Linked DNA regions of Pelodiscus sinensis. The protein of the gene in region 1 binds, or shares a complex with, the protein of each later gene. Links are inferred from orthologs where the notes say so. Each region holds a gene or a part of one and is shown on either strand. Other genes may lie near its edges. The genes, in order: POGLUT1 and NOTCH1.

Evidence for each region.
Region 2: the proteins of POGLUT1 (region 1) and NOTCH1 are in contact, whole or in part, in a crystal structure (PDB 5UB5), measured with the Homo sapiens proteins. The link is inferred for Pelodiscus sinensis from reciprocal best matches to the Homo sapiens genes POGLUT1 and NOTCH1. Residues at the interface, in NP_689518.1 of Homo sapiens: Met103, Phe104, Pro105, Ser106, Arg107, Asp133, Gly170, Pro171, Ala172, Val173, Trp174, Pro178, Thr179, Gly180, Thr214, Asn239, Gln240, Ala241, Val274; in NP_060087.3 of Homo sapiens: Asn454, Glu455, Cys456, Val457, Asn459, Pro460, Cys461, Gln462, Asn463, Asp464, Ala465, Cys467, Gly472, Glu473, Phe474, Val485, His486.

What each region holds. Positions count from the first base shown.
Region 1 is NC_134711.1:163,011,173-163,019,355, reverse strand, and holds the start of POGLUT1 (protein O-glucosyltransferase 1), read left to right. Parts: upstream 1-4,826; 5' UTR 4,827-4,931; coding exon 4,932-5,010; intron 5,011-8,183. UniProt on the Homo sapiens protein: Dual specificity glycosyltransferase that catalyzes the transfer of glucose and xylose from UDP-glucose and UDP-xylose, respectively, to a serine residue found in the consensus sequence of C-X-S-X-P-C.
Region 2 is NC_134732.1:20,254,923-20,263,519, forward strand, and holds the start of NOTCH1 (neurogenic locus notch homolog protein 1), read left to right. Parts: upstream 1-5,081; 5' UTR 5,082-5,306; coding exon 5,307-5,364; intron 5,365-8,597. UniProt on the Homo sapiens protein: Functions as a receptor for membrane-bound ligands Jagged-1 (JAG1), Jagged-2 (JAG2) and Delta-1 (DLL1) to regulate cell-fate determination.

The DNA.
Region 1 (8,183 bases):
GTAGCCAACTGTTTCTCCGTTCCAGGCAGATGGAACATAATGAAAATGGGTTTTTGCTGGTACTTGTCCTCGTAGAAAAACGGAGGGAGAAATGATATTTGAAACCAGGCATTGAGGATCACAGTCAGTGGTTCCTCCCACAAAGCTCCAGGCTTAGGGGGAAATTGAAGAGAGGAGGTGAGGAGAAGTAAGCTTGGTGTTTGAAATGAGAATGAAGGGATTCCGATTAAGCTCCTAGCCAAATCACTTTGGGAAGGCTCCAAGCTTAAGCAAAGCTGCATATTCCAAAAGCAAACACCACTGGCCCGGGGTACTTTCATTACAGAAGACCAGGAGAGAGAGAAGAAAGGAAGGAAAGAGAGAGAGAGAGAGAATTACTAGGTTCACAGGAGTTTCATCTCAAACTTGACCATGAAGGTGAATTTACATCAAATAAGCTGGGCCCTAGAAAGACTTAGTGGCTATTGACCGTTTCTGCTGGCTACATCTCCTACTGTCTGCCTCAGAAAGAGCACTGCAAATAATAATCTTCAGCTGTACAGTACTACAATCCGACTGGCTGTGCAGCAGGTTGGCATGCAAACTACAAGAGGTAACCACAAAGAGAAAATTGACATTGACCCAGGACAATGAGTAGGGTATCAGAGACCCCAATGGGGAAATATGTTCTGAAACTTGAAATGGGAGACAAGCAGAGAACAACACTATTACAGTAATAGTAATAGCGGATCAGGTATGTAGAAAGGCCCAGAGTGACACAGGAGGTCTAAGGCAACTTCACAAGTTACAAAGATGTAAGGCATTCATGTTATGGTTACTTACTCAAGCTTTTGTAAGATTTACAAGAGTAGCCAACACAATTTATAGGCAGCAGGTATAAAACAAATATAGAGAAATACTTCACAAAATGCACAGTCAACCTGTGGAGCTCATTGCCAGGGTATGTTGTGAAAGCCAGAACTATAACAGGATTTTAAAAAGAATGAGATAGGTTCATAAGGATAGAATAGGACTATTAGCCAAGATGGTCAGAGATGCTAGCTTCTGTTCTGGATGCTGAGACTGGATGACAGGGGATGGATCACTTGACCGTTGCCTTAATCAGTTCATTCCCTTTGAAGCAACTGGCATCGGCTACTGTTGGTAGACAGGACACTGGGCTAGGTGGAGCTTTGGTCAGACCTAGTATGATCATTCTTATGTTCTTAATTTTAGAACTATTCATATCACTTGCACAGATGCAGCATTGTACCCTTAGAACAGGAACAGAACAATAGATTCTGTTTATGCAGAAAGCAATAAGGCTGCTTCTGACAACCACCACTGAAAGGAGCTGATATTTTCCTCTTTTTTGGGGGGGGAGGCTAATATGGGGTAAGAAGAGTTTGGGACCAGCATATGAGAAATGCCTTGGATTTTCCAATTTCTCACTATAGGTAGTGTTACCACTTTTGACCTAAGAAGCTAGTCACAATTTGGGCCCTACAGGTGTTCCCATTTGGAAGAGAAATCTGCAATGGGTCCAGGTATCTTTAATGCAATCTTGTTTGTTTATAGAGAATGTACAATGTTCTGTTTCCCTGAACACAAGATGAGCCAAACATCAGGAGAGCCTCGCAGTCCTATATTTCTTTTAGCCAGCAACTGGCCCCAAAGCTCTCTCTCTCTAAGCTTTTCCAGGATGACATATTAAGTGCTTGTTCAGGGCATTACTGATTCTGCCTTCTCTCTCAGCTTCTCTGTAGTTTCTTAGAAATCAGATGAGATCAGTGTCAGAGATGCCCGGGTTTTTTTTGGGGGGGGGGAGGGGGGAATTACAAAGCAAAAGGAAAATAAAGAAAAAGCTTGTTGTCTGTACCTATAATTTTCAGACAAGACCCCCAGGACAGCTCACCTCCTTCCAAGCTTTCCTGTCGGCATAGTAGCATCTTCAGTAAAGTGATACAGTGGCCTAGCTGTTCCACTGCCGCACTGTACATGAAGTCAAGACCTAAGACCAGAAAGGACCAATGTGATCATCTAGTCTGACCTCCTACATAACACAAGCTAGAGAACACCGAGATATTATTATGATATGCTTATGGCATAATTATGATGTATTTTATTCAGTATAGGCCATGTGAGGTATCATTGAAAAGGTTATGATTTGCTGAATATGATTATCCTATTTGTTCTGGTATCCTGGAAAAACACCCCAGTCTAGAGGTACCCTAAGTCATATCCATTATCAAGTTTGTGCTCCTCATATGGGTACTTAGGGTACATCTACACAATAGTGTTATTTCAGAATAACTGATGTTATTCCAAAATAACATAGTCCGCATCTAAACTATAATAATGTTGAAATAATGGCGAACTGGAGGACTACTTATGCTGACTCCTGTAACCCTTATTTTATGAGGCATAAAAGAAGTCAGAGGAAGAGTGCTCTGCCTCAGACTTCTTGCTGTGTAGATAGCATCAATAGCCAAAATAAGCTATTTTGGCTTAGGCTACACAATAGACATTGCTGAAGTTGCGTAGCTTATTTCAGATTTAGCCCTGCTGTGTATCATGCCCTATAGACTGAATGAGTCATAAAAACATAGGAACAGCCATCCAGGATCAGACCAAAGGTCCATCTAGCCCAGTATCCTGTCTTCCGAGAGTGGCCAATGCCAGATGCCTCACAGGGAGTGGACAGAACAGGAAATCTTCAAATGATCTCTTTCCTGTCATCCATTTCCAGGCACTTACTGACAAACAGAGGCTAGGGACACCATTCCTACCTATCCTGGCCATTGATGGACCTAACCTCCATGAATTTATCTAGTTCTTTTTTTAACCCTGTTCAAGTCCTGGTCTTCACAAAATCCCCTGGCAAGGAGTTCCACAAGTTGTCTGTGTGCTGCATGAAGAAAAACTTCTTTTTGTTTGTTTTAAACCTGCTACCTATTAATTTCATTTGGGGACCTCTAGTTCTTGCGTTCTGGGAACAAGTAAATAACTTTTCCTTATTCACTTTTTTCCACGCAAGTCATGATTTTACAGACCTCTATCATATCCTCCCTTCGTCTCCTGTTTCTCTAAGCTAAAAAGTCCCAGGCTTTTTAATCTCTCTTCATATGGAACCTATTCCAAACCCCTCATCATTTTTGTTGCCTGTTTCTGAAACTTTTCCACTGCAAATATGCCTTTTTTGAGATGAGGCCACCATATCTGTATACAGTATTCAAGATGCGGGTGTACCATCGTTTTATATAGGCACAATAAGATAAGAGTCTTATTCTCTATCCTTTTTAAATGATTTCTAACATTCTTTTTGCTTTTTGAACTGCTGCTGCTGCCCATTAAGTGGATGTTTTCAGAGGACTCTCCATAATGACTCCAAGATCTCGCTCTTGAGGGGTTATAGTTAAATTAGTACCCATCCTTTTGCATGTATAGTCGAGATTATTTTTCCAGCATGCATTCCTCTACATTTATCAATGTTACCTTTCATGTGCCATTTTGTTGCCCAATCACATAGTTTGGTGAGATCTTTTTGAAGCTGTTCACAGTCTGCTTTGGTCTTAACTATCCTGAGCAGTTTAGTATCATTTGCAAATTTTGCCACTTCACTGTTTACCCCTTTCCCCAGATCATTTATAAATAGGTTGAATAGGATTTGTCCCAGTACGGACCGTTGGGGAACACCGCTAGTTACCTCTCTCCATTCTGAAAACTTTGTATCCTGTCTTTTAAGTAGTAATCAGTCCATGAGAGTACCTTCCCTCTGATCCCATGACAACTTCCGTGACTTAAGAGCCTTTGGTGAGGGACCTTGTCAAAAGCTTTCTAAAATCTAAATCCACTATATCCACTGGTTCCCCCTTGTCCAAAGGTTTGTTGACTCCCCTCAAAGCACTCTTGTAGATTTGTAAGGCGTGATTTTCCTTTACAGAAACCATGTTGACTTTCTCCCAACATCAGTCTGACAATTTAATTCCTGACCATAGCTTCAACTAATTTGCCCGGTACTGATGTTAGACTTACTGGTCTGTAATTACCAGAATCACCTTTAGAGCCCTTTTTAAATATTGGCATCACATTAGCTATCTTCCAGTCATTAGGTACAGAAGCTGATTAAACGACAGATTACCAACCACAGTTAATAGTTCCACAATTTCACATTTGAGTTCTTTTGGAAATCTTGGGTGAATGCCATTTAGTCCGGGTGTATTGCCCCTTAACCATCTCTTTTTTAAGCTACATTGATTGAGCTTTCAGAGTCACTATCAAGCAGGTTTTAAATCCTTTCATCATTCTTGTAGCTCGTCTCTGAACGTTTTCTGATTTATCAACTTCCTTTTCCAATTACTGATAGCATTATTCCAGCAATGGTAGCACTAATGCTCTGGCCAGGGAGTGCTGAGACCCAGCTTCTAGCAAGAGACCCACTCAGCCCTGGCTGCTGCACCCCCTGGCTTGAAGTTATTTCTATCCCACAGGGTTTAGAGCTGGGCTCAATGGCTCACCGCACCTCCTACTCACCCCACTGGTGGTGTTCACATTCCTAGTGTCGACAGCCAGACCAGCTGGCTTGGTGAGCAGCCCAGGGGCCTCAGGGCTGGGGCCACCCCACAGTTGCTCCTGGGCAGGGAGGGGCTGTGCTCCATATACTGAGCTGTGATGTGCCAACTCGGGCACTACAACTCCCATCAGGTAAAGCGAGTCGGTCCCGGATGTGGAATTGACTATAGCGGCGACCATCTTTGTGCGGGGCACCGTGTCCCTTTCTCCCCTGCGGTGGCGGCCATCTTTGTGCAGGGCGCTTCTTCCTCCCGCCCTTCTACATTTTTTTTTTCTTCTGAATCAGCTATCGGCCTGATGGAACGCAGAGGGGCCGGCTCGCCGCGCGCAGGCGCAGTGCGGGGGGGGGGGGCAGCGGCAGCTGTCCGCCGGGCTGCACAATGGGGCCGCTGGTGGCCTGGGCGCTGCGAGCGGCGGCTCTGTCCCAGCTCGTGCTCAGCCAGGGGAGCAGCGCTGCAGGTGAGAGGCTGCGACCGGGAGGGGCGGGGCGCGCTCCCCCACTCTCCTTCCCCCCGGCACTGGGGAGCGGGGTGTGTCTCCCGCCCCCCGAGCCCCGTCCCCCGCTGCAGCCTCCAGCGCCGCCTCTCCCTCGCTCAGCCCCACGTGTGCCGGGCCGAGCCCTCCCCAGCGCCTCTTGCCTCCTGCCCGGCTGGGACCCTGCTCCCGGGCCTGCGCCACCCTAGGCAACGCCGCCTTTGCGGCTGCCCCTGCCTCTTCTGTTTGGCTCAGCCTCCTGCTGGTCACTGCGCCCGCTCGCCCCTCTTCCTCCGAGTGACCCGCCCGCCCTGCGCAGATGCTCTCTGCAGCGGAGCGGCCCCGCGCTACCCCTAGCGTGGGAAACGGATGCAAACTCCCTGCGTCTTGTAGCCTGTTTGTACTTAGCTAGGGGCTGCAGAGATTAGCCCCCGGGCTTGCCTGTCCGGAGCTGGAAGTGGGGTTGGATGCGTGCGGGGCGTACAGCAGGGGCAGGCTGAGGGAGGCGGCCCTAGTGGGGCACTTAGCTTGCCTCAAAGACACCCTTTAGAACAGGGGTGCCCCAGAGAAAGCCTTGTTTGTTGGGCTTAGCATCCCGTGTTTTCCTGCACCTCTCGTATCTGCCTGGTTTTTTTCGTCTTTGAACCAACTTGTCACTAAAGAATGCAAACCAGGGTTTCTAGAAGCAGTTCTTTTGCTGGTGGAATGAGGGGGCTGTGTCTCAGTCTTATTTAATATGCAATATAAAAGGAGGCTATAAGCTCTTTGGGACAGGGACTGTTTACTGAAGGTTGTGTAGCACACATCATTAGAGCTCTCTGTGCTGATACAAAATTTGTATCCGCATCTACATCTGCAAAAATGAGCCACGGATATCCACATTTGTGGATGTGGATACCTGTGGCTATAAAGCGGATAGCTGTGGATTTGCAGGGCTCTCCACACTGTAACTCTATCTCTGGGTCTTTCTGTAATACAAACAAATTTTATATAGAGAACCTCCGCACAGCACCTGATTATTAAAAAAAAACACTTTGTCCACTGCTGAAGGGCAGTTATCTGAAGTGGAGTAAGCCAGTTGTTCAACAGCACACAGTAACGTTAAAGGAGAACTTAGGACAGGAGATGAATGTTACTATAGCTAAATGAAGCTAGAGTGGAACAGAAGTAGGTGAATGTTAAATCACCCAAATTCCCATTTATCTCACACACAGACATAACTCTCTATAAGTATAGGGGATATATCATGGGACAGAAGCTGTCAACCTTTTTCTTGTTAAGGCTCCCCTGAACATGCTATAAAAACTGAGGATGTTAAAATGTATTTATTGAAAATGTCATCTGTTACGCATTCACATGCCGGGGTGGGAGGGAGCTGGCTTTTAAGCTGGCTCACCACACATGCTGACTTTGTGCCTGCCCACCCACCCCCTCTGCAGCATGAGGGTGGGGGGGGGGGGATTGTGTATGATTGTGAAGGTTAATCAATGAGCCCAGGTTCATCAATTAACCATGGACACATTTATACTTTCACATGCCTAATAAAAACTCTAGAGCTTTGGGGCTCTGGGCTGAGGGGCAAGACCCTTGCTCATAGGAATAGTTTTAATTTTTTGGAGAGGGGATAAGGGCTGCTGGTGGTTGGGCCAGCTCTGCACAGGGGAGCCAGGGAAGAAGTGCCACTGAGTTGTGGAAGGAAACAACCAAAATTATAACTCAAAGTGTGTGTGGGGAGAAGGTGGGGGGAGAGAGAAATTCAGCTCAGAAATTTTGAAAACTGCTCAGGGTGCAGGCTGGGGTTAGCTAGGAGCTGTGTACTGGTATGGGGATAGTTAAGGGTGAAGGCAGGGGAATAGGTTTGGCAGAGAGGTAGCTAAGGGTGCAGGCAGAGGTGAGGGCTTCCAATGTAGTTCCCAGTTTAAATGGGGGCAGGAGCGCTGGAGTGGCTAACGTGAGGACGGGGGAGTGGGAGGCTGGTTTCTGCCTTGTGCTGCACCTGTGGGACACTGTAGCACAAGGCACCAGGTTTCAACCTCAGGGTGCTGCGGTCTCCCTGAAAGGGCTCACAGGCTCTGAGTTGAGAACTACTGCCATGGGATCTTACAGGCTGTGAATTGTCAGGAATACTCCTCCTCCCATCCCATCCCCCTAGGGTTGCCAGGTTTCCGGTTTTCTACCAGACAGTCCGGTTTTTGTGCCCTCTGTCTGGTAAAAAAAAATTCAGAAAATACTGGACTGTGCAATGTCTGGTATTTTCTGTTTTTCTGGCTGGGCGCCGGACGGAAGCCTGGCAGGGGCGGGGGGAGTGGCTGGGAGGCGGGGCTGCGATCGGCGCTTGGAGCCTGTGGTCGCGTGCAAAAGCCTGGCGGGGGTGGGGGGAGTGGCTGGGAGTCCTGGCCACTCCCCCAGCCCCCACCAGGATTCTGCACACAACCAGAGGGAGTCCCAGGCTGGGAGGCGGAGCCGTGATCTGGTTGCATGCAGAAGCCTGGTGGGGCACAATTGGTGCTGGGAGCCCTCAGCAGATTGCATCTGGGGAGGAGGAGAAGCCCTGTCCCTGCTCCTGAGCGCTGTTCAATTGCATTGTGGTGCGGGGAGAGAAGCCCTGAGGTGCTTTATAATTGCGTTTAGGCGCCTTCCATGGACTCTCAGCCAAAACTGACTGGGGTGGAATTTCTGCTTCTTCCCATTGGGACACCCAAAGACCTGGCTATGGGGGAGTCATCTTCCTGCCTTGAGGGCGGGGGGCTGGACTCGATGACCTCTCGAGGTCCCTTCCAGTCCTATTATTCTATGATTTATTCTATGATTCCTACCCATGGTCGCTTCCGCCCCCTGCCCTGCCATTGTGTTGCCCCGGGGTCTGCGCCTCTCTGCTCTGGGTAGCAGGCAGCTGCTTTGCAGAGCAGGTTCTGCTGCCTCCACCTTTGTTCCTAGCTTGGTGGTTCTTGGTAGTAGCCACACAGGATGTGTGTTCAGTGTGGGTGGTTTGGTTTGGTTTTTTTTTTTTGCTTGACAAATTTTTAGCCCATGTGTTTGGTATTTTTTGGGAGACCATCTGGCAACCCTACATCCCCCAATGAAGTGGTTGGAGGTGGCATGTTATCATGTTGTACCACACTTGGGGATTTCTTTTATACTTACTTTAAAGGCTGCTA
Region 2 (8,597 bases), on another chromosome or scaffold:
TTGCGCAAGTAAAAAAACAGTTCTTGCGCAAGAAGCCTGCAGTGTAGACGTAGCCTTGGGGTATACATTGCTTTGAATCTCTATCCCGAGAGCTGGAGCCACTTGGAGAAGGGAGGATCATTACTTGACACGAGTCCCATTTTACGGGGTGGGGGTAGGCAGCACGCAGAGGCAAAGGCCGCCGGTTCCGAAGTTGGGTGCTTAAAGCGAGGTACCTAGGCTTGGATTTTCAGAGGTGACGCCATTCACAGTCACTCGGGAAGTCACAGCCCCAAAGCCACGCTCTCTGGAAGGACAGATGACACCCGGGAAAGGAAGAGAGCATACAAATACACTGTGGGGCTCTTCCCTTTGATCTCCCGGACAGACTGTCCTCTTAGGTGTTTAATTTCTTTCACACTCCCTCTGGAAGTAAGTTACAGCAGGAAATAGGGGGTAACAGCTCCGAGAAGGACAGGAGGGGCCTTTGGAGCTGGAGTGGACAAGGGAGGAGGAAGAGGTGTTACTTCTATTCATTAACCCATTCCGGAGTCAGTCTCTCTTTCCCCTTCCCTCCCCTTTAACCAAATGCAAACTAACTTGGGCAAGCATGTTCTCCAGCTCTGACGTTATTACCAAGTGGAGGTTCAACAGAACCATGTTTTGAGGAGGGAGAAAAAGGGTTCTCTTTGGCCTCTGAGGACAGGACAAGAAGCGATGGGCTTAAATTTCAGCAAGGGAGGTTTAGATTGGACATTAGGAAAAACTTCCCACCTGTCAGGCTGGTGAAGCACTGGAATAAATTGCCTCTGGAGGTTGTGGCATCTCCATCTGTGGTGATTTTTAAGAGCAGACAAACATCGGTCAGGGATGGTCTTGATTCTGAGTCCTGCCATGAGGGCAGGAGACTGCATTTGACCTCCCCAGGTTCCTTCCAGTTCTAGGACTCCATGATTTGGAGACAAAGGAGGGACAAAAGAGCTACAGCTGGCTCAGGACAATGCATCGGTCCTGTTTTCACTTGGACTCCCCTGAAATGATCGTCAGCCCATCGCATGGCGGAAATGCTTTGCTATCCGACCCTGCAGGCCCAACCCTGCCCCAGGATGCTTTCACAAGCTATCTTCATATATCATTGTTTGCGGTGGTGGATCTCATTGAAAGATTAGTGCCAGGTTGCAAACAGACAGAGCTGTACACTAGTGGGTTGAGCCCAGAGATGAGAGCCTATGCATCTTTCCTGACTTTGCCACTGACTTGCTGCATGACCTTGGGCGAATCCCTTGGGCCTTGCACACAGCGAGTTTTTCTTCCACATTTCCCACGGTTGCACTAGCCAGTGATGTGGGAGCAAAAGAGGAAGCACTAATGTAGACAAGGCACTGGTATTTTTGCCACCATCCAAGCAGGACTGAGCAACACAGTAGAAGGGGAGAGGGAACATGCGCATTCCCACCCTTGCCGGCACTGTTAGTACTACTTCACTGGTGGGCTGTGTCTACACTGGGCCACTTATTCCGGAAAATCAGCCGCTTTTCCAGAATAAGCTGCGAGCTCTCTACACTGGCCCTTGAATTTCCGGAAAAGCAACGACGCTCTACTGTACAAAATCAGCTGCTATTCCGGAAAAGCTACGCTGCTCCCGCTCGGGCATAAGTCCTTATTCCGGAACACTGTTCCGGAAAAGGGCCAGTGTAGACAGCCCAGTAGTCTTTTCCGGAAAAAAGCCCCGATCGCGAAAATGGCAATCGGGGCTCTTTTCCGGAAAAGCGCGTCTACATTGGCCACAGATGCTTTTCCGGAAAAAGGGCTTTTCTGGAAAAGCAGCCTGCCAATGTAGACGCTCTTTTTCCGGAAATACTTATAACGAAAACTATTCTGTTTTAAGCATTTCCGGAAATTCATGCCAGTGTAGACACAGCCATGGTGTAATAGTGGGACAGGTGAAGGGAAAAGTTCACTATAGAGACAGACTTTGGCCCACATTTTCAAACACAAGGGCCTCGAATTTAGGCACCTAGACAGATGGCTGGGACTGCATAATAATTGCTGAGAGGTGCTAAGGTGGGGCAGGACATGTGACTGAATTCAACTCTTAGTATCATCGTTAAATCCTACAGGTGATCACATTTAAGAACCCATCCTGCCCCAGACAGAAATCCTATTGACTCCAGAGACATCTCTCCCTTGGATGACCAGGGCCTGAGATGGGTTTGTTAGTGTAAGGGAGAGCTAGAGGAACAGGGTCCTCAGAATAAAATACAGAGGTAGCACTGGCACATGGCAGCAGCCAGAATTTAATGTTGCACTGGCTGAAAATTTACTCAACCTGGGTTTTTTTCCCCTCTGGCCTCTGGAGTTGGCTTCCAGGCCGTCTTTTATTTAATTAGCTGCTTTTTTATTTATTGTTGGCCAGAGTTTGGGTTGAAAGTTCAGAAGTTTACAGCACAAAGGAAATAAACAGGCAGGCCTCACTCGGTTTCTTCCCTCTGGTCCACGCATTCCCAATAGGCAGGCGCCTGGGGGTGAATACATCTTTGTTCGGATTGTTTTGGTCCTTCACTTCACTGTTTGTCACCTAGAGCATTCCAGGAGCAAAAGTCGACCACTCAGACAAGATCGGGGAGCCTCAAAGGTGGCTGAGATTGGGAGACTTAGAGGGGCAGTTTTTCCAAGGTTGACACAAAAGGTGGCTTCACAGATCTGTTTATTCACCTGTTGCATTTGCCAAACTTGGAGCTGCTCGCACTGCACCTGCAAAAATGCAGGTTGCATCCACGGAGCCTGTGAAAACGCAGCCCCTGGACAACTTAACAGACCTCTCCCCCCCCCCCCCCCCCCCCCCCCGACTGACTAGCCCAGTGTTTCTTAAACTTTTTGAGACCACGGAAAACCAAACAATAATACTTTTTATGCAGAACACCTATGAACACCAATTTGTTGTCAGACAAAAAAAGACAAAAACAAATAAGTAACAAAAACAAAGAAGAGTTGACGAGTTGTTCACGGACACCAGTGTTCCACGGAACATAGTTTAAGAAACACTGGACTAGCCCGTCAGCAAGGCAGGCAAACCTCCTGGCTCTCATAACAGCCCCCACCGAGTTACCTGCCCTGATAGGCAGCATGCACCAAGCAGGCTCTGGGAGGTGCAGGGGTTGAGTGCACATTTTTTGAGTGCATCCTTGTGCCTGTATTTGAATACTGTCCCAGATCCGTCACCCTGTCTGGCCCTCAGGGACTAGTCCCACAGACCTTGTGGGGGGCTCTACTTTCTTCCCACTCCAAGTAACTGATACACACACATACACAGACACACCCAGCCTCTAGCAGCACCCAGCTCCTGCCCCACACATACACAGACACACGTGCACACACACACACACACACACTCACTCAGACACACGCAGACATGCAGACTCACTCACAGACACACGTGTACACACGTGCGCACACACATGAACACTTAGACACATACACTCACACATTCTCACACACAGGCACATACACACGCGCTCTCACACAGACACATCATGCACAAACACTCACACACGCACAAACACACATACACACACAGATACACTCACTCTCACAGACACATCATGCACAAACACTCACACACACACACACACACTCACTCTCACAGACACGCATGTACACACACGTGCGCACACACTCTCACAGACACATACACACTCTCACACACGCAGACACACATTCACACAGACGCGTGTACACACATGTGCGCGCACACTCTCTCACACAAACACACGCAGACAGACACACACACACTCTCTCTCACACACCCAGACACACACACGCAGACAGACACACACACACACTCTCTCACACCCAGACTCACACACACACTCTCTCTCACACGCACACACACACACTCTCTCTCACACACCCAGACACACACACGCAGACAGACACACACACACACACACTCTCACACCCAGACTCACACACACACTCTCTCTCTCACACGCACACACACACACACACTCTCTCACACACCCAGACACACACACGCAGACAGACACACACACACACACACTCTCTCACACCCAGACTCACACACACACTCTCTCTCTCACACGCACACACACACTCTCTCACACACCCAGACACACACACACACTCTCTCTGTCACACGCAGACACACACACTCTCTCTCACACACACACACGCAGACACACACACTCTCTCTCTCTCACACCCAGACACGCACACACACTCTCTCTCACACACACACGCAGACAGACACACACTCTCTCTCACACCCAGACACACACACTCTCTCACACCCAGACACACACGCAGACAGACACACACACACACTCTCTCACACCCAGACTCACACACTCTCTCACACACCCAGACACACACACACACTCTCTCACACACACACGCAGACAGACACACACTCTCTCTCACACACACACACGCAGACAGACACACACTCTCTCTCACACACACACACGCAGACACACACACTCTCTCTCTCACACCCAAACACACACACACTCACACACACACACGCAGACAGACACACACTCTCTCTCTCACACGCAGACACACACACACACACTCTCTCTCACACCCAGACACACACCCAGACACACACACACACTCTCTCACACACACACGCAGACAGACACACACTCTCTCTCACACACACACACGCAGACAGACACACACTCTCTCTCACACACACACACGCAGACACACACACTCTCTCTCTCACACCCAAACACACACACACTCTCACACACACACACGCAGACAGACACACACTCTCTCTCTCACACGCAGACACACACACACACACTCTCTCTCACACCCAGACTCACACACACAAACACCCAACTTCCAGCAGCCTGGGAAAGGTCCCGACGCGGCGCAGCCCCCCCCGAGCGCAGGGGCTTGAGGACCAGCTGCCCAACCACTGTCCCGCCCCCTCGCAGCCCGGGGGCCGCTCCCCCCCCCCCGGCCGGGCGGCTGGCTGAGCTCGGGGCACCTGGGCGGAAGGACCAGGGGCGGGGGGCGGGGGGGGGGGGGAATGGGAGGAGAACGCGGCTCGGAGCCGCCGCCTCCTCCTCGCTCGGGGACTCGCAGCCCGAGCTCGCACGGCGCGCCGCGCTCTCCGCGTCTCTGCGCCCCGCGCCGTCCTCCCGCGGAGCGGATCTCGGGGGCCGCCTGAGCCTTTTGGGGGGGCGGGGCCCTGCACGCCCGCCGGCCGGCTGGGGGGGTCGATGCGGCTGTGAGAGGGGGGCCAGGAGCCGCGCCGCGAGAGCCGCCCGCGTGGAGCCCGGAGAGGAGGAATGCAGCTGCTTCTGGTGCAGAGCCTGCTGCTGTCCCTGCTGCCCGCGCTCAGCCGAGGTAGGGGCCGGCCGGGGGCCCGCGTGGGCTGGGGCAGAAGTGAGGGGCGCCCCTGGAGATGGAGCCGGGGAGTCCCTCGCTGGCGAAGGAGAAACTTTCCTCCCCCCTTTCTGTGTCCCGTCTTCCCCTGCCCGGCTCCGGTGCAGCCAGGCGCGGGGACAGGGGGCTTCCGAACCGGGCAGAGCTCCCTCCTGGCGGGGGCTTCCCTGAGAAGCCGGGGCTCAGCCTGAAGCGCAGGTGAACCCCTTTGCAAAGGGCTGCGGCTCGGCTCAGCTCAGGCTGACGGGGGGGGGGGGGAGTTGCCTTCTTATGTGGGGGGAGAGTTGCGTTCCGTGGGGCACTCGTTGTATGTGGTGCATTGCTCTCTGCCACCAGCTGCCCTCGGAGAGGGAATCCGTTTCCTCCCCGAGCCCTTGGATTTTAAAAGATCACAACCCACCTGAGAGGTGTGCGGCTGGCAGGGCGGGGAATCAAGTGTGTGTAACTCCCTCCGCTTAGAAACAATCCTGGGGAGCGGTGAAGTGTGTGTGTGAGAGAGAGAGAGAGAGAGAAAGTTCTCTTAAAACTTTATTCTCTAGAGATCTCCCGAGAGAAGCAAACCTTTAAAAGTTGCCACCACAGGGCTGGATAGCGTGACAGTTTTTGTGACACAAACTGTGTGTGTGTGTGTGTGTGTGTGTGTGTGACACAAACCGTGTGTGTGTGTGTGTGTGTGTGTGTGTGTGTGTGTGTGTGACACAAACCGTGTGTGTGTGTGTGTGTGTGTGTGTGTGTGTGTGTGTGACACAAACCGTGTGTGTGTGTGTGTGTGTGTGTGTGTGTGTGTGTGTGTGTGTGTGTGTGGAGGGGGTTACTTTGGAGAACTGATCTCAGGATACTGTGAATAGTGAAGGGGCTTTTTGGTATGAATTTCTTTTTCTGGGCAGTGGAATATTTCATGTTGCAAAGTTCAGAAAGTGACTCTTTTCCTTGTGTAAAAGTCTCCAAGGGGTGGCCGTGTTAGTCTGTAACTTTGAAAACAACTTTTAAAAAAGCAACAAGTAGCCCTGTGGCACCCTAGAGACTAGCAAACATGTATGTCTAGAGTCACTAGCCTTCGTGGGCAAAACCCACTTCTTCAGATAAGATGTGTTCTGTTAAAGGCTGGGGTATGTAATGAGCAAGCCGGAGATGGGCTGCTTTTTTTTTTATTTTTTGAGAGCCTTGTTAATTTTTTATTTCCTGTTTCTTGAATCTACGTCAGATTTCTTGTTCTCTCAGCCCTTCCTTGCAAGTTTGGGGGCGGATGTCAGAAGCCGTTTTGTTTCTTGTACACGGCAGTAACCTTTGGGGAAACAATCAAATGGAAACTTGTGTAGCAATTCTTCTTTTCGTCAAAAAGGCCCCAAAGTGAAAGATGCGCGAGTTTCACCTAGGTGAGAGGAAAGAGTAGGAAGATATTTTTTAAAAATAATCCCCTTAACATGGGGAGATAAGGTGATGATGAGTCTGCTTGAAAATGCACCACTTCCCTGCCTTAATCCTCACAGCACTGAAAAAATAAGCAACCAAAAACACTGCCTAAGAGTATAAATATGGGGGTAGCATTTAATCACGTGGGTAAAAAGTCTCAGCGCGGGGGAGCCATGTGAAGTCTGTAACTTTAGAAACAAGGACTAGGCCTGTGGCATTTTAGAGACCAACCAAAACAATGTGAGTCCTCTCACTAGCTTTGTAAGGCGGAAAAAGTGCAGCTCCTGTGTTTGGCTGCTAACTTGGATGAGTGGGTTGGCGTCTGCCACCCTGATTCCCACTGAAACCAGGGCCACTGATACAATCAAGGGAGGTTACTAGGGGAAAGCAGCCTGCGGGGAGGAAGCGGGGGGAGGTAAGAAATGAGTCCAGCCTGTATAGCCGTGTGCCATTCCTGCAGGCTGCTCTAGCATGTGCTTTAAAAAAAAAAAAAAGGGTGCCCGGTTGGATCTGTCCCCAATGATTTTTAAACAGAAGCGAGACAGAGGTTTTTATTCTGGAGCGTGCAGGCCAGGGAGTGCAGGACTAAGTATGGGGACCCCTATTGCTCTCTGCCTGGAGTTGCCTTCCGCTGTGTTCATCAGCGTTACACTATAAAGTCAAAAGGCTTAGTCATAGCAAGGGTGTCACCCAGCCTTCCTGGAAGAGCCCTGGGTAGGTACATTTGGGGCTGTCTGGTTTCACTTCACTTTGCATACGCGACCCAAAACTGGCTTCCTTCCCTCCTCCCCAAAGTAAAACAGGGCCGGGGGGCGGCTGGTTGACTCAATCAGATCTTTCAGGCAGCAGGTATTGAGTATCCAGGGCCGTACAGGATTGAGAGCTGCCCTACAGTAAATAATGCAACAAGCGTTTTACAATGGGTCGCTCTGATTTCCCCCTTTGTTAGCAGGCAAGGAAGGCTGTGCTCTGCAGCTGTCGCTTTTTCCCACGCGCAAGGAGGGGAGTGCGCGCCCATGGCTCTGTTCTCCCTCAGTAGGACAGTCTGTAGCCGCTTTTTGTCCTTTTTTTTCTTCCTTTTTTTTTTTTTTTTTTAAATCATGAATATCTGAACAGCCAGACAATTCAGCAGGAGTTTCAGGAGGGTTTTCTGTAGTCAGGACAGGAGCAGTATGTGGTGAGGGATGGGGGGGAGTGGGAAAGGATAGAAACTCTGCGAGCTGGCTGGGAACAAGGTTGGGAGCCGCCTCTGTAATCTGAACTTGTCTGCAGATAACTTGGCTGCTCCGGGGCTGCTTTGAAGAAAAGCAGGAGTGGGGAATCTTTTTTGGGCCGAGGGCGGCTGGCCCACAAAAAAAATCAGGGGCTGCACACCAAAGCCGTGGGGGGGCTGGGCTAGTAGATTTTGTGAGCCCCCCCCAGGCTCTAGGGTGGGGCCAGAAATGAGAGGTTCAGGGTGTGGGAAGTGGGCTACGGTGAGGGGTCTGAGCTAGATGGGGGTGTCTGGGCGGGAGGTCGGGTGCAGGAGCAAAGTGGAGATGGGGGTTTGGGCAGGAGGGGGGTGCAGGAGCAGACTGAGGGTGAGGGATTCTCTGGGAGGGTGCAGTAGCAGGCTAGGGTGCAGGGTCTGGGCGATGCTGGTGCGAAGTACCCAGTTCTGGGGGGCGGGGAGCCCCGAGCCTTGGGGGCTGGATCCAAGCAAGCTGGGGGTGGGGTCTGACTGCTGGGCCTTAGGTTCCTCTCCCCTGCTTTAAAACTCTGTGGCTTTACATGGCTCCCTG